Sus scrofa: one gene and its partners. The protein of the gene in region 1 interacts with the protein of each later gene in a pairwise test. Links are inferred from orthologs where the notes say so. Each region holds a gene or a part of one and is shown in the gene's direction. Other genes may lie near its edges. The genes, in order: VCP, RPL9, VAMP2, FAF2, FAM104A, UBXN2A and UBXN4.

Region 1 (4,130 bases):
TGGGAAGGCTCACAGCTGGCTGATTCAGCTGAGTGCGGGTTGTCTAAGATGCCCTCTCCCAATATCATCTATCTTATGATCCTCAGGAGAAAGGGCTACAGGAATCCTTACTCAGGAATCAGTGCCTTTAGTCCTTCTTGCCAAAAAGGCGAGTACCCCTGCAAACCCAGGATCCTAGGTGAGGCGACAGAATGAGTGGAGTTAGGTAGGTCTGGAAGGTGATTCTTAGAAGGAAGGGACAAGCAGACCTCTGAGTCTGTTAGAATGACACCTCACCCCCTCCCTAATCCAAATTTGGGATTCGATGGTCTTAGTCAAATGTGTCTCTATGGTTAGAGGGTAAAGGATGAATTAAGTCACCATACCACCAAAGCTGCCTGTTGAATATAGTCAGGGCAAGCTGGCATTTTGGGTCCAAGGTCATCAAGTCTCAGCAATGTTTTTTTTTTTTTTTTCTTCTGCTTTAGGCTCTATTGAATCTGTTTGTGTTCTGCGGTTGCTATTTTTTTTTCCTTTTTTTTTTTTTTTTGGCCTCGCCCATGGTAGGCATGCGGAAGTTCCTGGTCCGGGGATCGAACCTCTGCCACTGCAGTGACCCAGGCCCCTGCAGTTATAACGTGGGTCATTTAACCTGCGGAGCCACAAGAGAACTACCTGTGGTTGTCTTTTGATTCCTCTTCGGAATTGAGTGTCCTTTGCATAGCTATTAATATTAATACCCAATGGTAAGAAGGAGCACATACCTCCAAGCCCTGCGGAACTATAAAGCTTGTGGGATTAGGATTACCAGAGGGTGTAATGACAACAGGGAAGAGTGGATTAAGAGCTGGAATGCTAGCCAAAGAGTCCGGAGTAGAGGTGGCTGGAGCCAGCGTTTTGAAGGAGCAAGGAGAGGGGTTAGAGTGCATACTCAGGTTTTGGAAGAAAATGGGTGTGTGGGTTATCACTACAAAAGGACTAGACTAATACAAGGGTTCAATCCATTGTGCCAGGTTCTTCTAGCCGGATAAACTCAGGAGCCAATGAACTGGAGCCAAGTGGGAGAGTCAGCCTCCCAGGGTTAAAGGCTCTCCTTTCGCCAGTCGATCTGGCCCCATTCCTTTCGTTGATTGGTCGAGAGTCCCAATCCGTCGAGGAAGCGTAGCGTTGCGGCCAATTGACGTGGCGTTACTAGGCGTGTTGCATCCCTGAGGCGGGAGCCGGGCCGCAAGCGAATTTCCTGATTGGCTCTGGTCCGCGGGTTGCTGGGGAGAGGAGGCACGGAGAGGCGGGCGGGAGTACCCAGGGCAGGCGCTGATTGGCTGAGTTGTGAGCACCTCTCCTTCCGATGATTCGGCTCTTCTCGCCTCAGTCTTCGCAAAGCGTCTGCAGCCGTCGTTTGAGTTGTCGCTGCCGCTGCCCCCTCGCGGATCAGGCGCTAGCGTCCCCCGCCCGCTTACCGCCCTGGTGCCTCTGGGAGGAAGCGAAAGGGAGGCCGTCTGCGGGTTTGTCGTTGCCGCTCACCCTCCGCCCGGGAGAGCCGAGCACCGGCCGAGTCGGTCGCCTGCCACCCTTCGTAGCCGTTACCTGCGGGCCGCCACAGCCGTTGGCCGGGAGAAGCGCGCGCCATGGCCTCCGGAGCTGAGTGAGTGTGTGCGCGCCCCCCGTCCTCCCGCTGCGAGTGCGCGCACTGGGAGATCCCCTGCGTTGGGTAGGCCCGGCCAGGCCTGCTTGTGGGCGCGTCTAGGAGGTGGAGACAGGGAAGGAGGGAGACGGAAGGAGAGGAAGGGGGCGAATGAGGAGCCGCGGACCCCGCTGGGCCCGGCCGCGCACCCGTGCGCCCCCTAGGCGGGGCTTGCTTTGGGCCTGGGTCGGGGCCTGGGCCGGATCGTGCTGTGTCATGCAGGCCCGGGGCGGCCTGATTGGCTCCTCTCGAACGGCTGTCCTGTCCTAGTGAGGTCTGAGGGCCCACGCTGCCGGCACGGAGCCCCGGGGCCTTGGGGTGTCCACCTGCGATCCAGTCTGCCACCCGTTGTAGGCCTTTGGTCCCCGGAGAGTGCAGGCCACTTGGGCCTGACGCCCTAACTGGGCCCGGTGGGCGTGGACTTTGAGCCACGTGAAGGCCTTAGGAGCCGGGAGACCGAGACCGAGGAGGAGGCCGGAGCAGTGCAAGGCCGGGCGAGCTCAGGGGAGCTCCCGACGGCCCTTTTGGATCCGGGTGGGTCTGGCCCGTGGTTGGCATCCTCTACGACCTGAGTAGTGAGAGGCTGTTACCGAGAGGGCGGGCCCTGCCTTTCCCATCTGGCCTTCTTCATACTTTATTATTCCTGTTTTATTCATATGGGAAGGCTATAGTCAGTTTTCAATAATGTTAGGAAGTGGGGTTCATTAGGTTCTTGCTAAAATTCGAATCTCAGTTCGTATTTTGTGGGCCTTTCTAGATTTCAGCCTTTTGTGGTGTGAAGGTTAGAGTTGCCCTAACTTCTCAAACACACACAGCCTTTTACCTATGTGGAGAAATCCTGAGCTCTCTATTCCTCAGGAAAGCATCAGATAAAACCTGGCTACCTCTGCCCATTTTAGAATCAAGAGCTTTAGATACTGGGGGAGTTGGGGTGGGGGAGGAGAACACTGCCATCCTATGGAAACTCTTCTATGCAAAGCACCTTCCAGACTTGAAAGTTCAGTTTTTTGAGGTGTTCCTTTTTTTCAAGTTTCTGAACCGAGGTGAAGTATTTATTACTGAGGCGCCTATTGAAAAGGGCTGCTTATTAATACTTAAAGTACCCTCTTTAGTTTCCAGTACTAAAAGTCGAAAATTCTTAGAACCTGGCATCATAGACAGTTTATCTCTAGGTCATCTTGATGACTCTTAACTGAACTCTGTCCACGCCCCCTGTGGCCCACTGGGGTCCTGGAAGAGGGCCTTGACTCATGCAGGAAACCAGAGGAAGGTCCCCAAAGAGCCTCCAGGACTGTTGTCAGCCCATGATCAAGCTGACTTCCCTTGTTTAGAGGTTACCTCTTTCGATCTCAGGGGACAGATGTAGAATTAAAGGTCTTTACTTTAAGGGCAGAACATATCAGTCATCTCCAGTGCTGGGCTCAGGAGTGGTAGGCAGATTGGAGGTTTTCCTAGAATACAGCTTTGGGGTTAGAATACAAACTCTGATGACCAGAGGCAACTGGTATTTTATTTCTCTAACCCTAATCCTATACATCCAACTGGAAGATGGACAGCCCTTAGAGGGTATTTTGATGCATGGAGGAGAGGGAGAATGGATGGATTTAAATTGCCCTCGACTCTCACATTGACCATGTTTGCTCTCCAGGGTGTTTGTTGATAAGCATTGGAAGAGTATGCCTACTCTGCAGCATTGTGCCTAACACTTTTGCGCTGGGGAGGCAAGTTTAAGCTGAGGAAATGCCACTTTTGGAAACTAGTTTAAAGCAAATGAGTAAAGGGGCAACCTATGTGAGAAGGTCAGCAGAAAGGTTACAATTTTTTTTTAGGTGAATGGGATTTGTATTTCTTTTGAGTGTATCAAGACCAAAAGATGTAAATGCCTCATAATTTCTTACCTGGTATTTTAAAGCATAGGCATCTTTTTTTTCTTGCAATATTTCCAATAGAAATACTGTTTTGTCTTGTTTTGTTGACTGAAAATCCCCAGATCCTAGAACAGTGCCTGACATGTACATATACTTGTTAATTTTTTGAGTGGAATGGTCTCTTTTTTATTTATTATTTCTTTACATCATCCATTGGCTCGCCTCCTTTTGGTTAATGCGCAAGTTTTCCTGAGCCCTACTAAGAAAAGGTAGCTCTTCAAAAGGAGAGCCCTCTGTGACTCGTTATGAAGGTTGGAGATGAGGCAAGTGAGAAATAGGTGTCAGGAGAGTGATCTTAGCTTCTAGGAAATGATAAAAACCATTTAGACAAATTTTATTTATTTATTTTGGCTGTGCTTTTGGCATGTGGACAGGCCAGGGTTCAAACCTGTGCCATAGCAGTGACCCAGACCACTGCAGTGACAACACCAGATCCTTAACCCTCTGTGCTATAAGGGAACTCCTGTTTAGACAATGTAAACTGAGTTCAGACTTAGGCAACCTTCATTTGGGTGAGAGGATTTTGATTTGCCCCATGT
Region 2 (4,284 bases), on another chromosome or scaffold:
GAAAATAATGCACAATGAAGGAATAGGACATTAAAATTACCTCAAAATTTCAATTACCTTTCTCCTTTCTGGCGTTTTAGGTTTCCTTTATAGTCATCCCAGGTGCTCTTGTCTGCAAGATCACCAGATAGAAAATCTTGAAGGTCTGGTCCATTCTGTAAAAATTCCTTTTTTTTATCTGGCAAGGAACTTATTGCTCTGACTGGACTGCATAAATATCTTCCAAATACCTACAGAAAGAGTTCATTGTGACATTTATTTAGGGGGCTTTGGAATAACTTAGTATTAAACTCGTTTAATACCTAAAAGGATGGGTAAAGCCACAGAACTGATTCAGAAATTATGTTAATCTATTTACGAGCTCAATGTAAGGAGCTCAGAATCTGAAATTAAAGATGACCCAAGGAGAACAAACCAAACCCAAAGGAGAATGGGAGCTACAGCTTTGAATTTTCTATTCCTGACTTGAGTCAAGTATGTTTAAATGAAATTTGAAATTAATCTCTCTGCTTTGGGCTTGAATAAGAATACCTGCTAAAACACGGAGGTAGTTCTCAGCTGATTTCAGAGAAGTGGAAGAAGGGAAACTAAACCTAATGTTTTAATTTTCTTGGTTATACTGTGTGTGAACAAGGAAGTCACTCATGTATTTGTTGACCATAAGAAGCCATCGGTTTCTAGATTTGAACACATACATGTACAAGACAGACAAAACACCATAAAATTCAAGAGGTAGTACTGTTAAAGCAAAAGAACCTTCAACTATTAAAAAAAAAAAAAAAAAAAAAAAAGAGTGCCTATTAGGATGCTGCACGATAGCTACTGTACTTGCCCAGGTCTCTCGCTCAAGCCTGGAGCACAGACTTGGGTTTTAATCGCCCAAAGTGGTGTCTAGTACACAGGAGACACCAACACCAAGTAGTAATTTGGAGTTTCATTGCAGCGCTTCTATAGTGCTCCAATAAATACAAGAGTACAAATCATTGCATTGATAGCAGGAAAAAAGGTCTCAGAGCGCGGGCCACAGACTTACAAAAAAACCAGTATCAGGTCTTAACTTCATGACCATGTCAGAATTAAATGAGACGCTATACGAAAAATGTTTAGAACAGTACCTGGCTAGAAGTAAACGCCGGGTAAGCGCTGGCATTATCGGGCACTTTCAGGGATGGGAACCCCCACCCCACGCCCGCTCCCTTTTCGCCCCGCCGCTCACCCGGGGGCATACAGTGCGGACGGCGCCCCGGCAGCGTAGAGCCATCCTGCACTTTTTTTTTCTGGCAGGGAGGAACAATCACTAATTCCCGGGAAAAGAGAAGGACACACCGTCGCTCCACTTATGACAAACAACCTGAGCCAACACTGACCCGGTGGAACCTGCGCTGCTCTACGATTGGCTGCTTTAGCCTCGTGGTGTCGCGCGCTTATGACGCCATACGCAGGACCCTTACGTACTACAAAAGCGTGATGACGAAAGACGCTCTCTCTTTGCCGCATCTACTGCGAGGTAAGGTGGATTCTGTATTCGGTGGGCCTTGGGAATCTGAAGGCATCGGCTTTGGGAAAGCCAGAGGTGCGGGTGTGGCCCTCGGAAACCGTGTCTTGTTTGTCTCCCTGCGCGGCGAGCGTCATATGAGTCTGGTGGCGATGGGGTTCGAGCCTTGTATTGGGCTTTTAGGCCTACTGCCGCCCTTCAGCCTTGCCGGGATGGCGCCGACTTGATAGGACTTCCCAGAGCTGCGCTGACCGGGAGTTCGCCCGCTGGGTTTTTAATAACTGTTTAGGAGCTGCTCCTTCCAAGCCAAGGCGCAGCTGGGGCCGTTTCCGGGATTAGTCCTCTGTATCCTCCCCGAGATTTTTGCCTGCCGGTCTCTGGTAGGAGTGGAGTTCTGTGCAAGGTAGTTCGGCCCAAAACAAATCCTGTGCGACCTTCTTACCCAAGTGTTTGTGTTTCAGAATGAAGACCATTCTCAGCAATCAGACTGTCGACATTCCAGAAAATGGTAGGAGACTTGGTGCTTGCTTTTTTCATATGTTTTTACTGCGTGCGTTCTAATTTGTTTCGATGCCTCACGAGTATGTTTCTTTCATAGTCGACATCACACTAAAAGGACGCACAGTCATTGTGAAGGGCCCCAGAGGCACTCTGAGGAGGGACTTCAACCACATCAATGTAGAACTCAGTCTCCTTGGAAAGAAAAAGAAGAGGGTGAGTTTTGTTTAATCACCTCAGTTTGTTTGGAAAGTTGTAATTTAAGAATATCAAGTTGTTTTAAAAACTACAGAATTGAGCAGCAACATGGATGGAATAGAGACTCATACCAAGTGAGGTACGTTAGAGAAAGACATACCATTTGATGGATAATTTTTTCTCTGGAGTCTAACAGCACCAAAGAATTTACCTACAGAAAAGAAACTCTTGGACTTGGGGAACAGACTATTGGTTCTAGTCTGTTCTAGTCTAGGCGGAGGGAGTGGGATGGACTGGGAGTTTGGGGTTAGTAGATGCAAACATTGCATTTGGAGTGGATAAGCAATGAGATCCTGCTGTACAGCATAGGGAACTACAGTCACTTGTGATGGAACATGAAGGAGGATAATGTGAGAAAAGGAATGAATATTTATATGTATGAATGAGTGACTTTAAAGCAGAAGTTGATGGAATGTTGTAAGTCAACCATAATAGAAGAAATAAAAACTTTTGAGAAATTATGGAATTGAGGTTCAATGTTTTATCTTATAATTTAGTGTCCAAAATTGTAACTAGTTTTTTTTTTTGTTGTCGGTGCTTTAGTGAAATTGGAAAACCAAAGTAAACTGGGTTATAAACCTCAGTACTGGTAATATTTATTAAATAGCAGGCCTTAATACTGTTAGAAATTGGGTTTATTTTTCTTGATTGTTTTGTAAGGATCATAGTGGTGCAGCAGAGTTCTTTTGAACCTGGTATTTTAGCTTTCCAGAAGTGAAGTTTGATGCAACTTGTACAAAACTTTCTGGGTTGTTCCTCTGTGAAAGTGTATACTTCTAATGTATAGTAACAAAAACCGTTAATTGCTGAGGGCTTTGTGGTTGCTTTTTTTTTTTGTAATTAGGACAAATACTAGAATCTAGAGTAATTACTGTGGATAAATGGACCTTATTTCAAGGCTACTTAATACTGGAAAGAATTTTCTGAAGTTTTTGTTCTGTTACAGCTCCGGGTTGACAAATGGTGGGGAAATAGAAAGGAACTGGCAACTGTTCGCACCATCTGTAGTCATGTACAGAATATGATCAAGGGTGTTACACTGGTAAGCAGATTAATCAGACTTCTTGTCTTAGAAGGGGGAGGTTTGTCAGCTATCTTTATGTATGCAACATAAATGTCTATTGTAGAAAATACTTTGTGCGAGTAACTTATACTTGCATATAACTTAGCGGCTGTAGTATTTTGGAAAAGGTGATCTTGGCAAATGTGTTAGGTATTCCTGGGTCTTATGATAAAGGGAGATACATAAGTCTAGACCAGATGGTCTTGATAATACGCTGATTATATATATATTTGTTTTACCCGAAAGATAACATTCACAATTTCAGGGGGGTTTTTAATAGAAAATGTTAACACATAGAATGGTTGGTTTCTTGTCTTATGCCTCTCACCACCAGGGTATCTTGTGGGAATTAGGGAAAGATTAAGTCTTATTTCTGAGCTTTCAGTCTTTAAGGTAAAGTTGATTCTGGATATTTGCTGGAGTGTTTCTGTTTCAGCCTTTCTAGAGCGCAATCTGATAGCGGCACCCTGTACGCAACTCCATTATAAGCCTTTCAGGCCATGTCTCCCCTTGTGTTTCCAGTCTTTGTTTGCGGGGGGCGGCGGTGGTGTCTTGATATTCTCAATTCTGGCCCTCTGGCATACCATAGTAATTCAGTATGTTAGCCTAATGCCCAAGATGAAGGGCTTTAGAGTTATACTTTAATAGGAGGCTAGCATTGTTCACCACGGGCAAAGGAGGTAGTAAAATATCTGCTTCCTTAGGAGCTTTGCAGTCCATTGAGGAGACAGAAACAAATGTATTTAAAATTGTTCTGAGGGAGTTCCCTTTGTGATTCAGCAGTTACAGACCGAACTAGTGTCCATGAGGATGTGGGTTCTATCCCTGGCCTTGCTCAGTGGGTTAAGGATCTGGCGTTGCTGTGGCTGTGGTGTAGACTGGCAGGTGCAGCCATAAAAAGCAAAAAATAAATAAAATTGCTGTGAAGCTTTGGTGTGGGTGATAGTTTAAAAAAATGACAATGATGGGA
Region 3 (4,084 bases), on another chromosome or scaffold:
CTCCCCCACACAGCTGGGAAATGACACCTCTGGTGACAGAGCCTGGCCCAGGCTTCTGCTGGGAGGGGGTGGGGTGCTGCATGGGGGAGGTTGTCACACCCGGAGGCCCTGGGAGGCCTGGGTGGGGGAGGGAGGAAGCCAGCTCCTGTTTGTCTCAGAGACCAAGGCCACCAGCCCCCTCTGCCCACTTCCAGGGTTGCAGTGAGCACCCTCGCTCCAGGGCCACTAGCCACCCCCCCCCCAAGGTACCACCTTCTTTACTCTTTAGGCTGATCTGACCTACCCCACAGGACAGGCAGCTCACCTGTTCTCAGCCTGTCCTCTCTGAGGGGACCAGTCCTGCTGAGAATGAGCAGAGGGGGTGTGTGAACTGCTGGGTCTGTTTGGAGGATCTAAACAGAGACAAGTCAGGGATGGAAGGGGCCGGGGATAATCTCCTACCATGTCCCGGATCAAGCCATTTAACAAATACCCCTGTAGTGTCTAGTATGTAATCTATTTGGGGTCCAGAGACAGGCAAAGGGCTATCCAAGGTCACTCCCAGGAGGCAGGGACTGCCTTTGCCTCCTTACTGTCCTGCCCCCCCAGGGAAAAAACAAAACGTAAAAGCTAAAGTTCTGTCCTTTCGCCTGGGGTCAGAGGCTGAGCCCTCCCGCTGCAGGGTAGCTGATCCAACTCTGGGTCAGAGCCAGGTTTGGGCCAGTCTGCAGGCGCACCTGAAGCAGCGCCACGGGGCAGCCTCTTGCCTTCCTCCTAGGCCCCTAAGCTTGCCTCTTGTCGGTCAGGCCCAGGCTGCCAAGGACCCCTGGTCTGAACCCCAGCTGTGAGGAGAGAGTTCCTTGTCCCAGACCTCCTTTGAGATCTCCACCTGCGGGCAAGCTTTGGGGACCAGCTGCCACCACTCCACCTCAGCCGCGGGGTCTCGCCTGTCTGCATCGCCCCGGAACCTGCACGTGACCCTTCTGATTTCCCATCTCCCGCCCGTATCTGAAATGCCGAAGACCGGTCAACAGGCGTTGGGACCGTGGGGGCGGGCTGAGACCTGGGTCGGGGTGGGGTGCGGACGGGTCTCACGGAGGAGGTGTTTGGGGCCGAGGGGTGCCATCAGGGCCGGGCCATGGGTGTGGGTAGGCCGCGGCCCCCAGGCTCGGGCCGTGGAGGGAGAGGCCGGGGGCCCCGCCTCGCGGGCCCCGCCGCGGGCGGGCTGCGCTCCCCGCGCCCCGCCCCCACGCCCCGCCCCCGCGGCCCGGCTGCCGCCGAGTGGCCCGCGGCGCCCCGCCCCCGCCCGCAGTGCCCGGATGTGGGTGACGTGCGGCCGCCATCTTCCCGTCCCGGGCAGCCAGCGCCAGTCGGAGCCAGCGCGAGCCGCCGCCGCCGCCACCGCCACCCCTGCTGCTGCCAAGTCCTCCGCCCGCTGCCCCCGCCATGTGAGTCGGCCGCCTGCGCCCGCCCCGGCTGCCCGCGCCGGCCGCCGCCCCTGCGTCCGAGCCTGGGAAGGGCTCGGGGTCCAGCCCGCGCCCCCCGCGCGCCCGGAGGCCAGGCCGGCGCCCGTGACGGCGCGCGGGCAGCCGGAGAGCCCCGGGTCCCCGGCCGGCCGCGCGGGCGCTGGCGCCGGAGGGAGCAGACGCAGGGTCCGCCCGCCCCGCCCCTGTCATCGCTGCCGCCTTTCATTGCGGGTCCCCCCGACCGTGGCTGTGAGGTCGCCCTCATTTGACAGGCGGGGAAACTGAGGCCCGGAGGGGGGAGGGGGCCTCCCTCAAGGTCACGCGGCCGCTTGCCCGCGGGGCCGGGCGAAGGCCATGGCTCCCTTCGGGTGGCTCTCCTCCCGAGAAGGAGGAAGGGGGGCACGGATGGATGGACAGACGGATGGGCGGAGCCCTCGCTGCGGGGCCGAGGGCTCCAGGGCCTGGATCTTAATCCGTCGGTGCCCCTCAGGTCGGCAACCGCTGCGACCGCACCCCCCGCCGCCCCAGCTGGGGAGGGAGGCCCCCCCGCGCCCCCTCCAAACCTCACCAGTAACAGGAGACTGCAGCAGACCCAGGCCCAGGTGGATGAGGTGAGTTGTGGGGGGGGCAGAGGCAGTGGGAACGACCCTGAGGATGGCAAAGCGGTCTGGGGGTCCATCGTGGGTTGAGGGTGATGGCAGTTCACGTTTTCGCGTTCGGAGACAAAAACATACCAAGCCGCGTTCCTGACGTCGTGTAATTGGGAGGGCCGTGGGGTGTTAGCCTTGCTGGCCTGCGCCGTTTCACCCTGGGCGGGTGTGCTCTCGTGACCCGCAGGCTGCTTGAGGCTCGGTAAATAGAGGGTGCTGCTGTGATATGAGATGTCTGGCCACCAGCATGCCTCTGACGTGTGCTCCTTGCATGTCCCCAGGTGTGCTGGGCATGCTCCGCATATGTTGTTGCATGTCAGCCAGACAGCCCTAGGGTGCATGTCTCGTACGTGGGCTCCTGGCTGAGGAGAGCCCTTTGAGATGGGTCTCCCCCCCCCATCCCCGCGCCCTTCCCGCAGGTGGTGGACATTATGAGGGTGAACGTGGACAAGGTCCTGGAGCGGGACCAGAAGCTGTCGGAACTGGACGACCGCGCCGACGCACTCCAGGCGGGGGCCTCCCAGTTTGAAACAAGTGCAGCCAAGCTCAAGCGCAAATATTGGTGGAAAAACCTCAAGGTAAGGGTGGAGGCCGGAGGAGTGGTGGGTGGCCGGGAGTGTCCCCGCCTGTCTCCCTGACCGGCCCTTCTCGCCCCCAGATGATGATCATCTTGGGAGTGATTTGCGCCATCATCCTCATCATCATCATTGGTGAGTCGGGCGGGAGTGGCCGGGCCCCTTTGTTGGAGAGGTTTCCCCCCTGACGTCTGGGTTTTGAAGGTCATTAACCTCGTTTTTACTATTCAGCAAAGAGCACACAGAGCTGCCAATAGCAGTTCTGATTCATCTAGCACCCCAAACCTCAATGTTGTTGAGCTTGTACTTTGCCTGGTTCTGGGCAATTTCTGGTAAGATTTTTGGAAACCGGAAAGCCGGTGGAGATCTCCACTGCTCCCTTGAGGACCCTTTGGGTTTGTCCAGTATGGGAACCCTGGAATTGGGGTGTGGGGGAGCAGCGAAGACTCAGGGGCTTGAGAAATGGCTAGGAAGCCAACCACCCTATTGGTTGAGAGCTGTGGTCTCAGAGGCTCCGAGGATTCGGGGTCTGTGGCCCCAAAGCCATACCGTGACGTTGAGGAGACCTTGAAGCTGACCTGTGCAGCTTCCTTGCTTTACAGATGGAGGATCTGAGACCAGGAGGGGAAGGGACGGTCAGCCAGCTGGGAGGTGGGGAAGGTGGGAGCAGGGCCGGGCCTGACACGCTGCTTTCTCTCTTTCTCTTTCTTTCTCCCCTCTTCTTCCTTCTCTTTCCCTCTCTGCAGTTTACTTCAGCTCTTAAACCCCTGAGGAGCCTGCCCTGCCCAGAGAAGGGCCTCTCCCCCCCATCCCCAGCCGCTCCTCCACCTCTCAGCCATATCTTCCAGCCCCCTCCTCCCCCGGGATCCGCGTGTGTGTGTCGTGTGTGTGCCCCCTTGTAAATAGCCAGCTGTTATTTATACATATATAATATTATATATATTTGGTCTGTTTGTAGTTTTATTACTAGAAGATTTTTCCGGTTGTCCTTAACACCCCTTCCTGAGGTTCCCATCGCCTCCTTTTGCCCCTCCTCTCCTCTCCTTTCCCTCTCTTCCTCACCGGCCCCAACTCCCTTCATTTGCATCTGCTATGCAATAGTCCCTCTTCCTCCCCTCCTTCCCTTGGATTTAGCTGATCCTTCCTCCCGCCCTGGTCTTCCCCATACACCCCCTCACCCCACCCCACCCCCCGACAAAAAAAAAAAAAAGAAAAGCAGCTGTCCAGGACTCCCTAGGTGCATCTTCTTTGCATCATTGGGAGGCTCTGAGACTGGTCCCTTTTGGTCCTAAGAATCCCAAGGTCTTCTGGGAGCTTCCAGCATGTTAATTAGCATCATTTGCATACTGACATCCCTTTTGGTTTCCTTTTTTTCTCCATCAGGCTTCTGTTCATTCTTTCAACTTGTGTTTCT
Region 4 (3,500 bases), on another chromosome or scaffold:
CCAGGTGTAAGATCGTTCTGTTCTGCAGCCTCCAGGATTCCTGGGTCTATCTGGAGAAGGAGAAAATTGCTTACTTTTGCTTCCTGCTGTCATTCTCCCATATCAGCTTTTTCTCACTGGCTGCTCCCACCCCACTGAACAAGCATTAAGCACATACTGTATGCCACATGTTGTGCTCAGTGCTAGAGATACATATGTGAATGAGGTGGGCACCTCTCATACCCCTCTTTCTGTGATCCTGAGAGCAGACCACCATTGGTCAGTCAGGAAATCTTAATTGATTTGTAATGAGCTTGGGATTTGGCAAATGTAAAATCATACACAGGAATCTTGGACACTAGCCTTGTCTTTGAAGATCTTTTAAACCCCACGCTCTTTAGGATGCGTCAGTCCCTCATCCCTACTTGGTACGTAGCCAGGGATCAGGCTTGTCTTTGCAGGTTTTTTTGTTTGTTTTTTTTTACTAAGATATTATAGCCAGAAAGTGGCAAAATTCTCATCTGCCTTTTCAGGTCAGAGTATCCTGTTTTTATCTTCCTTTAGGCTATGGGAAGAGCTGACTTTTCTGTGATTTTTTTTTTTTTTTCCAGGGGAGACTTTTTCTGTCAGCCTGTCTACTTTTATGTGCCTGATATAATTTAAATCTTAACAATACTAAAACCTTTTCATCGAAGCTTGTTAGCATGAACTTTAAAGGGGGAGAAATACCAAGGGTGTGAGGTAGGAGCCTGGCAATTTTCTGGTTTCCTTGCTTAGCTTTTTCCTTCATTTCTTTTCTTCCTAAATACGTAGCTGTATCCATTAGGACCCTTAACCTAATTAAAAGTTCAAGTCAGTTATAATAATTAGTAATCTTCTTTTTCTCACAGGCACTTAATGATGCCAAACGGGAACTCCGCTTTCTTTTGGTTTATCTTCATGGAGATGATCACCAGGACTCTGATGAGTTCTGTCGGTAGGTGGAATTTTTTTTTTCTCTTTTCTCATCTTATCTGCTGATAGTTTGTAGTAAGCAAGTTCTTCTCATGTCCCTTTCATCCCTTTCCACAGCAACACACTATGTGCACCTGAAGTTATTTCACTAATAAACACGAGAATGCTCTTCTGGGCATGCTCCACAAACAAACCTGAGGGATACAGGGGTAAGTCGTGTTTCTTTTGCCCCATTGAGATGTTTGGGCTATCTTTGGAGTAATCTGGAAAGACATGCCATCTATTGCATGAATATTCTGTGGCAGAGTTGCTACAGATCCTCTCAGCAATCCTGGGAGACGGGGATCGTATTATCTCCACGTTATGGTTTAGGAAACAGTATCAGGCAGTGTAAGTCACTGGCCCACGATTTTATCACACAGTTATTCGCAAGTTTGGAGCAAGCTCAGACATGTCAAACTCTAGCCCATCCATTACAGGTAACTATTGCCACAGCCTGTTTGGTTGGTATTTGTGGTGGTGGCGGTTGTTCTTGGCTCTGCTCACAGCATTGGGAAGTTCCTGGGCCAGAGATTAGATCCAAGCCATAGTCACAACCTAAGCTGCAGCTGTGACAACACCAGATCCTTAACCCATTGTGGTCACACCACAGCAGTGATAATGCTGTATCCTTAACCTGCTGAGCCACCAGGGAATTCCAACTTGCCTTTACTCCTAATAGGCTTTTTACTAAAGAGTTTATTCTTTCATCAGCATTTTTTTTTTCCCATTTTTGGCCGCCCCGTAGCATATGGAGTTCCTGGGCCAGGGATCAGATCCAGGCCACAGTTACAACCTAAGCTGCAGCTGCAGCATCACCAGATCCTTAACCCTTTGGTGCCGGGCCAGAGATCAAACCTGTGTCCCAGCACTCCCAAGACACCACTCATCCCATTGCATCACAGCGGAAACTCTATCAGCAATTTTAACAGAGCTTCTTGGACAATGAGTTTGTTGTTGAGTGCTGATAGGGATTCAGAAACCTCAGATCTTTGCTGACTTTAACTTTTAACTGGAGGTGAATATCTTTAGAAGTCAGTATAAGACATAAAGGCATTCAGTGAAGGAAAATGTACTTGCTTTGCAGCAACTTCTTTTTTTATATATATCCCCACCTGCAGCATATGGAAGTTCCCAGGCTAGGGGTCAAATCAGAGCTGTAGCTGCCAGCCTGCACCACAGCCACAGCAACCCAGGATCCGAGCTGCATCTTCGAACTAAACCATAGCTTACGGCAATGCCGGATCCTTAACCTGCTGAATGAGGCCAGGGACCAAACCTGAAACCTCATGGTTCTTGGTCGGATTATTTCCTCTGTGCCTCAACAGGAACTCCCTGCAGTCGGATTCTTAACCCACTGTGCCATGGCATGAACTCCTCAGCAACTTTTTGAGTCTATACTAGCATATCAGGCATTGCGCTAGATGCTGAGGACTAAAGATGCAGCAAATGTTTTGTCTACATCCTAGAATCTGAATCTTTACTCTTAATTGTTTTTTTAATTGACTTTTTTTTTTTTTGACCGACCCCATGGCATGTGAAAGTTCCTGGGCCAGGGTTTGAACCTCTGCCTCAGTAGTGGCAACACCGGATGCTTCACCACTGAGCCAGCACAGAACTCTCCTAGTTGGTTTTTAAACATCAGATAAGATCCTGCAGTATGTTTTGCCATTCTAATATGATTTTTGGGAGTGAGCGGTGGTGGATAGAAGGAGGTTTTGATAGTGGGTTTTTTTTTTATGTTTTGTTTTTTGTTTTTTGCCCTTTTTTAGGGCCACACCTGCGGCATATGGAAGTTCCCGGTCTAGGGGTCATATCGGAGCTGCAGCTGCTGGCCTATGCCACAGCCATAGCAACACCAGATCCAAGTGGTGTCTGCAGCCTACACCATGGCTCATGGCAGTGCCAGATCCCCAACCCACTGAGCGAGGCCAGGGATTTAATCTGCATCGTTGTGGATACTGGTTGGGTTTGTTTCCACTGTGCCACAACGGGAACTCCTTTTATAGATTTTTATAGAAGCTTAAAAATCTCTTCTTTCAAACTGTTATAAAAAACATAGGCAAAACTCTGTTATGGTAAAATCTTTGTTATTTGGAAGACCAATTTTTAAAACTCCTCTGTAACAGAAAAGCTAACCCCTTCTTATTGGGGAGGGTGGGTGGGACTTAGGAAAAAGAAGTAAGGAAGGGATTGGATAAGAAGAAAAGAAAAAAGATGAAGAAAAGACAGAAGATGATGGTAGAGATCATCATCAGTAGCATAAGACTGAGACTTGTGGGCTTGACCCCTGACACGGGGAAAAATTATACTAAGCAGTAGCCGGAGTCTTTGTAGGTCCTTTTCCTTTCATCAAACAGATATTGTTCTTAAACTCTGTGGCCTGCCCCAGCATCATCATGACAGCTACACTCAACCAGAAAAGCCTATCCTACTTTAATCAGATTACCTGGGAAATAGGGTCACAAGTGTATAACAACACAAAGATTAAGAAACTAGGAGGGGCGTTTTCTTGTGGTGCAGTGGGT
Region 5 (3,500 bases), on another chromosome or scaffold:
TTGCCATTTCTTGGGCCGCTCCCGCGGCATATGGAGGTTCCCAGGCTAGGGGTCGAATCGGAGCTGTAGCCACCGGCCTACGCCAGAGCCACAGCAACACGGGATCCGAGCCACGTCTGCAACTTACACCACAGCTCACAGCAACGCCAGATCGTTAACCCACTGAGCAAGGGCAGGGACCGAACCCGCAACCTCGTGGTTCCTAGTCGGATTCGTTAACCACTGCGCCACGACGGGAACTCCACCAATTTGTTGATAGAAGAATGTTTTAAGGATGAAGTCTGCAAAGAGCCTAGAAAAAGGAGAAAGAAGAACAGGTTAGGGCTTATTCTTAATGCGGTACCTCCTCCAAAGGGGAGGACTTCCAAGAGGCCAAAGAGATCGTTCTGGTACCTTGAGAAATCAACTGATTATTAGGCAGGGATATTTCATGTGACAGTCCCAGAGTTTAATCGAAGTCTTGAAAACCAGGCCATCGTCTTGACAGTTATAGTCTTGTCACTAGAAAGGTATATTTCATCCCTCATTATAAATGTGGAAATTGGACAGCTGAGGACAGGCTTATATATTTAGTTAGACGCAGCAGCCCAAAGCACAGTCATCTGTTGGCACATCGATAAAAGAGGAGTTTGGGGACACACATATTGTCATTTGATGAGTTTCTCTTTCGTGTCAACTGGCTTTACATCAGACATTGTTCTGGAACTGCAGCACATTCCAATGAAAGTTCTCTGGTCATATTAAAATGAAAGTAACAATTTCTTGGTTCAAATCTATGTCATTAGCACATACATTTAATGATTATTAAAACCTGATATTCATCTAGTTTTTTAACCTCCAGGAACTTCAAGATAAGATCTAATCTCCTGGGAGGAAAGTAGGGAGCAGAAGTGGTGATCTTATTTTACAGCTGAGCTGAGCCTTAGGATGGGGTGAATGGTGCAGCCCTCTGCCGGTGGGTTACTGCTCTACAGGTCCTCCGCACACCCATTAGACCATTCCAAGTCTAAGCTGGCTCCATACTCATTAATGAGTAAAGTTAGGTGTATTGAGTGTTGTGGAGTACACAGGATTGAGCTTGGGGTTGTTAACTTAAGTTTTCTCCAATGTCCAGACCTCAACTCAAAGCTTTAGCTACTCACATAGAAATAAAACTGTATAGAAGATACTAGATGTTCAAATTCAGTACTTTCCAGAACGCTCTTTCCCCCTCCAGTTATAGATACTTGAACCTTGAAGAGTTTTCATTATAATAGATTATGCTGCTTTGTATAAATTTGGCCTCTAGCCAGCACTGTCTAATAGAATTTTCTGCAGTGACAGGAGCAGTCTATATCTCTGCTGTCCAGTATAGTTGCCACTAGCTCCGTGTGGCCACTGAGCATTGAAAAGGTGGCCAGAGTGATTAAAGAACTGGATTTTACATTTCATTGAATTTCCTTTGATTTCACTTTAAGTGAACAATATATGAGCAGCTACCCCATCGGACAGCGCAGTTCCATGCCATCTCACTGACCTCCTTTCAGTTATTTCTCTTTTCTAACTGGGATTTCGAAGGCCTGACAACACATGGTTCTTGCATGGAAAACAAACTTTGTCTTTATTGTACATCTTAGAACACTTGATTGAGAAAGATGTGCTATTTTTCTTTAAACCTGAACATTTTAAACAGCTGGTGTTAAAATCTCAAAGTAACAACAGGGAGAAATAATTTATATCATAATACCGGGGTGTAGCCCAAATAATCAAGTTAATGGGTCCAAGAGCAGCCTTTCCAGTGATTGTCTAGAGAAGCCATTTAATACGTTAGAGGGCATAGGGCTTGTGTGTCAACCTGATAATTGGGGAAGAATTAGGGATGAAAGAAAATTAAAGATTAGAAGCTACCATGGACCTCTAATGCTATTTTATTCCTGTGTAGCACCATTTTTATACAGATACAGGCAAAGGCAGTCACTCCCACCTTAGATGTTGTCATATCGACGGGAGTAAAATTAGGTAACTTAGAATTGTAATTTCAGGAAATGTGGGAAAAGATAACCTTAATTAGATTGAAAGCTTAGTCATCAGTGTCTCCCTCCTCTTATTTATTCCCAGTAGGTATTTAAAATTGTCAGGCTCCTTTTCAGAAATTAGTTGGACTCATATAAGCTCAGTCTTACTGCTGCTATTTTATACTTTTGCTCTTTGTGCCCAGTGATGGCATCCTGCCAGTTTTTTTACCTACTGGGTTATCACATGATGATTTATCTTTTTTTCAGGCAAGAGTGCAAATTTATTTGTTGTCAGGTTTTCCAGTTTGAAGGGGCCAAGGGACCAGCTGTTGTATTTTTTTGTCCTCCCTGTGATTTAATTTCAGGAAAAGGAGAAGGAATGGCAGTGAGGAAGACCACCACCTCCCCCCGCAGACCAAAAGGAGTAGTAGAAACGCTGTCTTTCACGATTCCTGGGACACAGAGGTAGGAAGTGTGGCCAAGAGTCTCTGCTGTTTTCATTGTTTGAACTAAAATAACTCAGTTACTTCTGTGTAATTAAAATTTTTCTTTGAATAAAGGAAAGTGATCTCACTTGACTGCAGTGTTTTCAACCTTTTTTTTTTTTTTTTGGAGTCATGGCCTTTTTGAGAAAGCCACACACCCTCTCCCCAGCTAAATGGCTGTCTGTACATATTCATACATACACACTCCAAAATGTGTATGTTACAAGTTTTATGGACCTTTGAAAGCCCATCTTTGAACCCCTACTTGGCATTTCAGAAGCCGGCTGATTTTCTTTTAGTTTATGAACCATTAATTGCCCTAAAGCCAAGTGTGTTTTGGAGTTCTCTGGTGGCCCAGCTAGTTAAGGATCCAGCATTGTCACTTCTGTGGCTATGGTCACTGTTGTGGCAGAGCTTCAATCCCTGGTCCCAGAATTCTGTGTGCTTGTGGGTGTGACCAAAAAAATAAAATGATTCTTCAAGATGTCGATTTTTTTTAAAAGACAAGTGTATTTTGCTGCTTTTATGTCTCTTAAAGGTATGCTTTCCATGATTTTAAGAGAAACTGTCTAAGCATTCAGAATATATAATGTATACATATTCAATATACATGTACATTATATATTCTGAATGCTTTTGTGTTTTTGTTCGCATTATGTGTTCTGTGCGGGAGGCGGAGTGGAGAGGGCATGGGGGAAGAGCCCCTGAACGCCGGTTTCCTGGGTGCTGCAGGTTGCCTCCTGTGCACTGAACATTGGTCTGCAATGGGAAGGGCAGCTGACATTGAAGGATATGCTGTTAGATTATGTGCCTAAGACCTGACCCTTAGCGCTGTTGCCCTAAGAGAGAAACTCCGCAATGGCAAGGATTCCTGAGCCCTGGCCTCATCACTTAAAGCAGAATTCCATAGGTGATAGGTCATAATTCTTGCACAACCAAAACACTGTGTATTTTATTTAGTTTTCAGTAATAGGATTTGACCTATATCAAGTCTTTACCAGAAATCCAAAGTTAACTCCCT
Region 6 (3,500 bases), on another chromosome or scaffold:
CTTTATCTTGAACACAGGAATATATCTACATATTATTTTATCACAATGATGACCCATAATTTTTATATATATATTTAGTTGTTGACAATTTGATTATTTCTTGTTTCCCTCTATAAAAAGATATCTGTAGTTCCCATTGTGTCTCAGCAGCTTAAGGACCCAGTGTTGTCTCCATGAGGGTGGAGATTCAATCCCTGACCTCATTCAGCAGGTTAAGGAGCTAATGTTGCCACAGGTTGTGGTGTAGGCCTGTGGCTGCAGCTCCTATTTGGCGTTTTTGGTTTTGGGGGGGTTCTTTGGGGGTTTTTTTGTTTTTCGTCTTTTTGTTTTTTCTAGGGCTGCACCCACGGCATATGGAGGTTCCCAGGTTAGGGGTCTAATGGGAGCTATATCCACTGGGCTACATCAAAGCCACAGCAATGCGGAATCTGAGCCGTGTCTGCAACCTGTACCACAGCTCACAGCAACACCAGATCCTTAACCCACTGAGTGGGGCCAGGGGTCGAACGTGCATCCTCAAGTATACTAGTCAGGTTCGTAACCACTGAGCCACAATAGGAACTCCTTTAACAGTTCTTTTCTCCATTTTATTGCCGAACTGTGTTGTGTTGTATGGATATACCACATTTAGTTTACTCATTTATCAGCAGACAGACATTGGATTACTTCCACATCTTGGCTGTTACGAATAATGTTGCTATGAACATTTGTGTCCAGACATTTTTGTACGGACATATGTTTTCAGTTCTCTCAGTTCTAGAAATACAAGTGCTATTAACTGTTGTTAGTGTATGTTTGTTGGGGGAAGTTGGGGTTTTTTGTTTGTTTTCATTTTTGGCCGCCCAGAGGCATATGGAGTTCCTGAATCATGGATCAGATCCAAGCCACACTGCAGCTTCAGCTGTTGCACTGCAGCTGTGGCAACACTGGATCCTTAAACCTGCATTGTAGAGCTGCGGAGACTGCTGATCCTGTTGCCCCACAGTGGGAACTCCATTTTTTTGCTTATCTTTAAAATTGGGTTCTTTACCTTGTTGAGTTGTAAAAGTTTTATCTTCTTGGAGTTCCCATCATGGCTCAGTGGTTAATGAATCCAACTAGTATCCACGAGGATGCGGATTCAATCCCTGCCCTTGCTCAGTGGGTTAAGGATCCAGGATTGCCATGAGCTGTGGTGTAGGTCGCAGGTGCGGCGGATCCTGCTGTTGCTGTGGCTGTGGTGTGGGCCATCAGCTATAGCTCCAATTCGACCCCTAGCCTGGGAACCTCCATATGCCATGGGTGTGGACCTAAAAAGACAAAAGAAAAAGAGTTTTATTTTCTTAATGATGTCCTTTGAAGCACAAAAGGTTTTACTTTGATGAAGTCTGATTTATCCTTTTTTTTTCTTTTATTACTTTTGCCTGTGGTGTTCTATCTAAGAAATCATCACTTAATTCAGGGTGCTGAACACAACTCCTGTGTTTTCCTATATTGTTTTGAAAGTTTGACCAGTATCTCCAAGTATTCTTTCAAGATAGATTGCTAGAAAGAAAATTAATGAATAAAAGACATCAATGTTCTTTCAGCTATTGATGCTCATGTTCATGCTTCTGCTTTACTAAAAAGACATACTGAATTAAATTTAGGAGTTCCCGTGGTGGCGCAGTGGTTAACGAATCCGACTAGGACCGTGAGGTTGCGGGTTCAATCCCTGGCCTTGCTCAGTGGGTTAACAATCCGGCGTTGCCATGAGCTGTGGTATAGGTTGCAGACGCGGCTCGGATCCTGTGCTGCTGTGGCTCCGGCATAGGCTGGCGGCTGCAGCTCCGATTCAACCCCTAGCCTGGGAACCTCCATATGCCGCAGCAGCGGCCCAAGAAATGCAAAAAGACAAATAAATAAATAAAAATAAATAATTAAGTTTATATCCCATAGCACTGTCCTTAGCATGTGATTTCATGTATGACATCAATGTAATGGTACAAAGCACTTATTTTGGTCAATCCTTATTTCAGAAGAGTTGATAGTAGTCTATGCCTAACCAACTTTCAGTGTGTACATAAAACATAGGTCTGTATATATGTATATGTACAATGTATGTATAGATTTTTAATTGCTTTATGTTATTTTATTTTTATTTTTTGTCTTTTTAGGGACACACCTGAGGCATATGGAAGTTCTCAGGCTAGGGGTCCAAACAGAGCTATAGCTGCTGGCCTGTGCCACTGCCACAGTAATACCAGATTTGAGCAGTGTCTGTGATCTGCACTACAGCTCACAGCAACTCTGGATCCTCAACCCACTGAGCAATGCCAGGGATCAAACCTGTATCCTCATGGATATTAGTCAGATTCATTACCAGTGAGCCATAGTGAGAACTCTTGGTTTGCTTTAAAAACAAACAAAAAAAAGCAATAGGAGTTCCCGCTGTGGCGCAGCAGAAACGAATCTGACTAGGAACCATGAGGTTTTGGGTTCGATCTCCGGCCTTGCTCAGTGGGTTGAGGATCCGGTGTTGCTGTGAGCTGTGGTGTAGGTCTCAGACACGGCTCGGATCCCGAGTTGCTGTGGCTCTGGCTGGGCAGGCAGCTATAGCTCCAATCAGACCCCTAGCCAGGGAACCTCCCTATGCTGTGGAACAGACAGCAAGACAAAAAATAAAAAGAAGAAGGCAACAGTTTGCAAAGTACTGAATTGTTTGGACAAAATAATTATGTGGAATTTTGCTATATAAAGAGAGAAAATGTAGGAGACACACCTCAAAGTTTTTTTTAATTGGAGTGAGAATGGAATCATGAGGACTAGCACTGTTTTTTTTTACTGTGACTTTCAGTTCTTGTTGCATATAGGATGTTTTTCAGAGAAAGAAAAGGCTTACTAGGGGCTTTACCATTTTGTTTCCTTACTTTCCAAGGGAATTACCTTTAGAATTACAAGGAGTTTTTGATAAAGAGGAGGTGGATGTTAGAGTTGAAGATAAGAAAAATGAAGTGTGTATGTCAACGAAGCCTGTGTTCCAGCCCTTCTCAGGACAGGGTCACAGACTGGGAAGGTGAGTAGGCTCATGCTGTGAGCTTTCCATAAGCAGGGGCTTGACTCAGTAATATTCAGCCAGTCATTATTTTCCCATGTAGACCACATATATAGAATTTATCATTTCACTCGTTGGAAATGAGATTTTTCATGTTAACTTCTATGAAAATTTCCAAGTCACATTCATCTTAGTATAAATTAATACATGCTGGCACTAGACTAAAAAAACCATGGCAATTCTTTTGGTTTTTATCAGTTCAAAGGGGCCTGGCTTATTGAGGACTTTGGGCAAAACTGGGTGGATAAATCATTTTTTTCCCTTGCACCCACCACTTCAGCTTTGCTATTTATGTTACAGAGTGCATAGGCTAGCTTTTGAATATTGAGTTCCGTGTTAGAGTTACCAGTGCCTTCAACATTATGCTTTCTGATCTGTATCTGAATTTTGAGGAGATAAAAATAAAGAAATGCGTGATAAAATTAGT
Region 7 (4,288 bases), on another chromosome or scaffold:
CTATGAATGATTCTTCTCTCTCTCTCTTTTTTTTTTTTTTTTTTTTTTTTTTTTTTGTCTTTTTAGGGCCCCACCCATAGCATATGGAAGTTTCCAGGCTAGGAGTTGAATCAGAGCTGTAGCTGCTGGCCTACACCACAGCCACAGCAACATGGGATCCGAGCCATGTCTGGGACCTACATCACAGCTCAAGACAACATGGGATCCTTAACTCACTGAGTGAGCCCCAGGGATCAAATCCACACCCTCATGGATACTAGTCAGGTTTGTTACTGCTGAGCCACAGCAGGAACTCTCCTAATATTTAATTCTAACACTAGGAATAATTAATCGTTCCACTGCAAGGGTATATACATTAATCGAATTTTAAGGAATCCATTTAAAGTTGATGTTAAAGATCAACTCTAACTCTTCCTGAGCAACAGTGTCCTATATAAGCAGCAACTATCTGTAAGATTACTGTCTATAATCAGCATTATGTTTGTTTATAATAACACTATATGTGAGGCCTGGTTGGAAAAAAGTAAATAAAAATTGGAATGTTAGCTATTTTTAGGTTAAATATTTGTAGAAAATGGGTATTTTCGGATGTAGCCCCTCCTTAGCCCTGCAAAGATTGTCAAATGGTTGTACTGCTGGAGAAGAAATTTAAGTCATGTAGAATGTACAATATAAGAGCGTATGCAACTGTAAATAAACCATACATGCCTTTAGCCAATAGTTATTAGAGACCATATACTTTCATGAAAGTATTAAATATGGATCGGTTTTCATTTTAATGACAACCTACCAGAAAGTGCCATATCTTGATTATAATACATTATCACATATTGTCATAAACAAAATTCTTCTTTTGTAGTACAATGAAAAGTAGCTGGAAAATAAATCATTATCTATTCTCTGGCTTCAACTTACTGTAGAAAGCAACTGTGGCAACAGCATAGCTAAGTGTTATGAGGTTTGAAACGATCTCTAACCAATGACTAGGAAATTACTCAAGGTCTGCATCGAACCAATACCTCCCCTGTACCACACTCTGTATGGTATTACAAAAGGTTCTTTTCTTCAAGGTTGAGCTGATAAATTAAGATCAAAAGAAATCAAAGCCTTGTCGTGAATCCCCACAAAGCCCACTTAGTCCCTTACCCAGAGACACCCACGCTATCTCACAATGGTCACTAATAGTAATACAGAATTACATCGTCCCAAAGGCAGGGTTCCACTCAGGGCGGGGACGATTTCCTCCACTTTCAAGGTCTCAATAAAGCCAAGAATGGCATCTCTCGGCGAGAAGCACTACTTCTCCTCTTTATAGATTGTGAAGTGACTCACTACCGCCCCTTTAGCGGTGCGCGAGAAACCAGTTATATTTTCCACAGAGTTAAAGGGACCTAGCCTAAGAAGCCTACAATTCCCATCATGCCTTAGGAAGGCGCCGCCGACGCGCCTTAGCTACTAGTCATCCTTCCTACTACCTCCGTCCACTTCCGGGACTGCCGGGCCTGCGGCCTTGTAGGATAGCGCACCCACCGACTTGCCAACAAGACAAGTCACCGGGGTGCCTAGACGACGGCGACGTGTGGTGTCACGTGTCGCGGGGCGCTCCTCGTCTGCGCGCTTGCGCGCGTCCCAGAGGGCCTCTGACCGGCTTGCGCGCCTGTGCGGGGCCGGAGGCGGGGGGCGGACCAGCTGCGGCTGCGGAGGCCGCGGGGCCCGAGGACGGAGAGGGCGGGGTCAGCTCCGGGACCGCGGCGACAACACACCAAACGAGCGATAGGGCCCGAGGGCAACGATGCTGTGGTTTCAGGGCGCCATTCCGGCCGCCATCGCATCAGCCAAGAGGAGCGGCGCGGTCTTCGTGGTGTTCGTGGCAGGTGAAAGAGGCGAGGGCCCGAGATGTGGCCGGGTCATTCCCCACCCCGCCCCGGCCTACGTCCAACCCCAGAAGCCCCCTGCCTTTCGTCCTCGTGCTGAGGGGCCCGGCCTGTCGGTGCTGACTGGCTTCTCAGCGCCTCCCCCGTCCGTTTGGAGCTCACCGGGCTTTGCCCCCACCACCGGCTTCTCCCGGCCTTGTCCGGAGAGCGCGCCTAGCCCCGCCGTCACCTCTCTGTGCGGGGCGAGGGGAAGAGCGGAGCAGGCCCTCGCCCGCCCTGCCCCGCAGCTCCCCGCCGAGCCTTACTCCGGGCCGCCTGCGGAGTTGTTGCTCACAGACCCCCACCGCCCCCGTTGGAGATTTCTGTCTCCGAGGACCCGCTTCGGGAAACTTTAAAGCCGCTGTCATTAGTGTTGAGGTGCGGGGAGAGACAGGCCATTAGCCAGGCAGGCAGTTTGTAACTAGTTGTGGACTGCCAGGAAGAAAGCTGTGTCATAGGTAATCCACAAAGAGAAACCACCTGATGTCACGTTCCTGAGACGCAAACTTTTCAGGTCTCTATAGGTTTGACTTTTTAAACAATGTTATGGGGGGTGGGGTGGAGAATCTAATCTTTTTCTTATTTTAACCATTTGTTTAGAAGAAGTAGATACAGAGGCTTTGGCTATCTTTGTTGTCTTCCTAGTTTCATAGCTGCAGTTTCAGGTGTACTGACTCATTTATCCTAAGTTGCTCTGGGATTTATTACTGAAATCTTCTATTTTTCAGTAAACAGATGCTTCTGTGGTTTTGTTGATCCTCATTATGTAAACCAAGTCAGTGTTTGTGACTACCGTTAATTCGAGGTGTATTATTTCAACTATTTGTGTTTAATAGCAGTTTGGTCATTATTAACTCATGACTTGGGAAAATAGATAATAGCCCTATAGCTTTATGCACTACAGTGAAGACGAAGTTGCTGAAACGTGAGTTTCACTTAACATTAAAGTTGGAATTTCAGATTGTTTTAAATTCTGCTAAAATTTTAGTGCAGTGCTATTAATTAGAAGAACTTGGGTAGTTTAGATTCTCTTATGCTGTTTTTGTTTGTTTTTGGCGGCGCTTGTGGCATGTGAAAGTTCCAGGGCCAGGGGTCAAACCCCTGCCAGACCACAGTGTGACAATGCCAGATCCTTACCCTCTAGTCCACCAGGGAACTTACACTATTATCCTGTGTTAGTGTTGTATTTCACATAAATGTCATAAACGTATAAGGAATTAAGTGGATAAATAGGAAAAGGAAAATTAAATGATACTTAGTATGCTTTAAGAGAACAGTTACGTTTTGTGACATTTTATGTTGTGTTTTCCCATATAATCTCAATTGATCCTTGCAGTTGGTGGAACAAGATTATACCTATTTTATAGACAAGGAAATATATTCACAGTAAAGTGATATGTAAGAGGGTCAGAAAAAGAATTTATATCTTTTGACAGATTTTATTTTTTAGCAACTTCAAAAAAAGAGTATCTTTTTTGTTTCTGAAAGAAAAAACCGAACAGTTGTAGACTCTAGGTAGTTAATGAAATTAGTGTACAAATCAGGAAACCTAGGATTATAGTAGTCATATTTTTAAGTGAAAAACGCTTTTTTGGGGGGTCTATTTTGGGGCTGCACCCGAAGCATATGGAGGTTCCCAGGCTAGGGGTCAAATCTAAGCTACAGCTGCTGGCCTACACCATAGCCACAGCAACTGCAGATCCGAGCTGCATCTGCAAACTACCCCACAGCTCACAGCAACACCAGATCCTTAATGCACTGAGCAAGGCCAAGGATCAAACCTGTGTCCTCATGGATGCTTGTCAGATTAGTTTCCACTGAGGGAGATGGGAACTCTGAAAAACACATTTGATGGTGTCCAAATGTTCCTAGGAGGCACTTTTGGGTTAACCAGTTTTGTTTGTTTGTTTGTTTTTACTTTTTTTTAGGGCTGCACCGTGGCATATGGAAGTTCCCAGGCTAGGGGTCGAATTGGAACTGTAGCTGCTGGCCTACACCACAGCAGCGTCAGGTCTGATCCGCACCTTCGACCTACACCACAGCTCACGGCAATGCCGGATCCTTAACCCACTGACCAAGGCCAGGGATTGAACCTGCATCCTCATGGATGCTAGTCAGATTTGTTTCCCCTGAGCCATGGGAACTCCAGGTTAACCAGTTAATTTGAAAGAAGAAATAGTAGATTTAATTAGTGGAAATTTGGACACCCATTTGTAAATAGTAGTCCTAATTATTACAATAGAAATATAGTTATAGGTCTTTGGGGTTTTGTGTGTGTGTGTGTGTGTATATATATATACATATATATATGAGTTAATAATGACTAATTCCCAATTGCTTTAATGACTGTTGAACATTTGCAGAAAGACCCTTGG

Evidence for each region.
Region 2: the proteins of VCP (region 1) and RPL9 interact in binary tests that used the Homo sapiens proteins (3 or more experiments, as listed by UniProt). The two-hybrid records come from large-scale screens. The link is inferred for Sus scrofa from reciprocal best matches to the Homo sapiens genes VCP and RPL9.
Region 3: the proteins of VCP (region 1) and VAMP2 interact in binary tests that used the Homo sapiens proteins (3 or more experiments, as listed by UniProt). The link is inferred for Sus scrofa from reciprocal best matches to the Homo sapiens genes VCP and VAMP2.
Region 4: the proteins of VCP (region 1) and FAF2 interact in binary tests that used the Homo sapiens proteins (3 or more experiments, as listed by UniProt). The link is inferred for Sus scrofa from reciprocal best matches to the Homo sapiens genes VCP and FAF2.
Region 5: the proteins of VCP (region 1) and FAM104A interact in binary tests that used the Homo sapiens proteins (3 or more experiments, as listed by UniProt). The link is inferred for Sus scrofa from reciprocal best matches to the Homo sapiens genes VCP and VCF1.
Region 6: the proteins of VCP (region 1) and UBXN2A interact in binary tests that used the Homo sapiens proteins (3 or more experiments, as listed by UniProt). The link is inferred for Sus scrofa from reciprocal best matches to the Homo sapiens genes VCP and UBXN2A.
Region 7: the proteins of VCP (region 1) and UBXN4 interact in binary tests that used the Homo sapiens proteins (3 or more experiments, as listed by UniProt). The link is inferred for Sus scrofa from reciprocal best matches to the Homo sapiens genes VCP and UBXN4.

Annotation. Positions count from the first base shown.
Region 1 is NC_010443.5:235,866,913-235,871,042, reverse strand, and holds the start of VCP (transitional endoplasmic reticulum ATPase), read left to right. Parts: upstream 1-1,330; 5' UTR 1,331-1,607; coding exon of another isoform or gene 1,608-1,624; intron 1,625-1,830; exon of another isoform or gene 1,831-2,197; intron 2,198-4,130. UniProt on the Homo sapiens protein: Necessary for the fragmentation of Golgi stacks during mitosis and for their reassembly after mitosis. Involved in the formation of the transitional endoplasmic reticulum (tER).
Region 2 is NC_010450.4:30,696,390-30,700,673, reverse strand, and holds the start of RPL9 (60S ribosomal protein L9), read left to right. Parts: upstream 1-1,484; 5' UTR 1,485-1,507; exon of another isoform or gene 1,508-1,573; intron 1,574-1,956; 5' UTR 1,957-1,957; coding exon 1,958-2,003; intron 2,004-2,093; coding exon 2,094-2,209; intron 2,210-3,197; coding exon 3,198-3,293; intron 3,294-4,284. Other genes in the region: LIAS (lipoyl synthase, mitochondrial), read right to left, coding at 58-230, 1,116-1,226.
Region 3 is NC_010454.4:53,379,444-53,383,527, reverse strand, and holds the start of VAMP2 (vesicle-associated membrane protein 2), read left to right. Parts: upstream 1-1,284; 5' UTR 1,285-1,425; coding exon 1,426-1,427; intron 1,428-1,935; coding exon 1,936-2,056; intron 2,057-2,514; coding exon 2,515-2,673; intron 2,674-2,753; coding exon 2,754-2,805; intron 2,806-3,416; coding exon 3,417-3,433; 3' UTR 3,434-4,084. UniProt on the Homo sapiens protein: Involved in the targeting and/or fusion of transport vesicles to their target membrane. Major SNARE protein of synaptic vesicles which mediates fusion of synaptic vesicles to release neurotransmitters.
Region 4 is NC_010444.4:81,416,273-81,419,772, reverse strand, and holds part of FAF2 (FAS-associated factor 2), read left to right. Parts: intron 1-869; coding exon 870-955; intron 956-1,050; coding exon 1,051-1,142; intron 1,143-3,500. UniProt on the Homo sapiens protein: Plays an important role in endoplasmic reticulum-associated degradation (ERAD) that mediates ubiquitin-dependent degradation of misfolded endoplasmic reticulum proteins.
Region 5 is NC_010454.4:7,730,741-7,734,240, forward strand, and holds part of FAM104A (protein FAM104A), read left to right. Parts: intron 1-2,359; coding exon 2,360-2,459; intron 2,460-3,500.
Region 6 is NC_010445.4:114,686,686-114,690,185, reverse strand, and holds part of UBXN2A (UBX domain-containing protein 2A), read left to right. Parts: intron 1-2,896; coding exon 2,897-3,034; intron 3,035-3,500. UniProt on the Homo sapiens protein: Acts to repress the ubiquitination and subsequent endoplasmic reticulum-associated degradation of CHRNA3 by the STUB1-VCP-UBXN2A complex in cortical neurons.
Region 7 is NC_010457.5:16,203,712-16,207,999, reverse strand, and holds the start of UBXN4 (UBX domain-containing protein 4), read left to right. Parts: upstream 1-1,488; 5' UTR 1,489-1,792; coding exon 1,793-1,874; exon of another isoform or gene 1,875-2,427; intron 2,428-4,288. UniProt on the Homo sapiens protein: Involved in endoplasmic reticulum-associated protein degradation (ERAD). Acts as a platform to recruit both UBQLN1 and VCP to the ER during ERAD.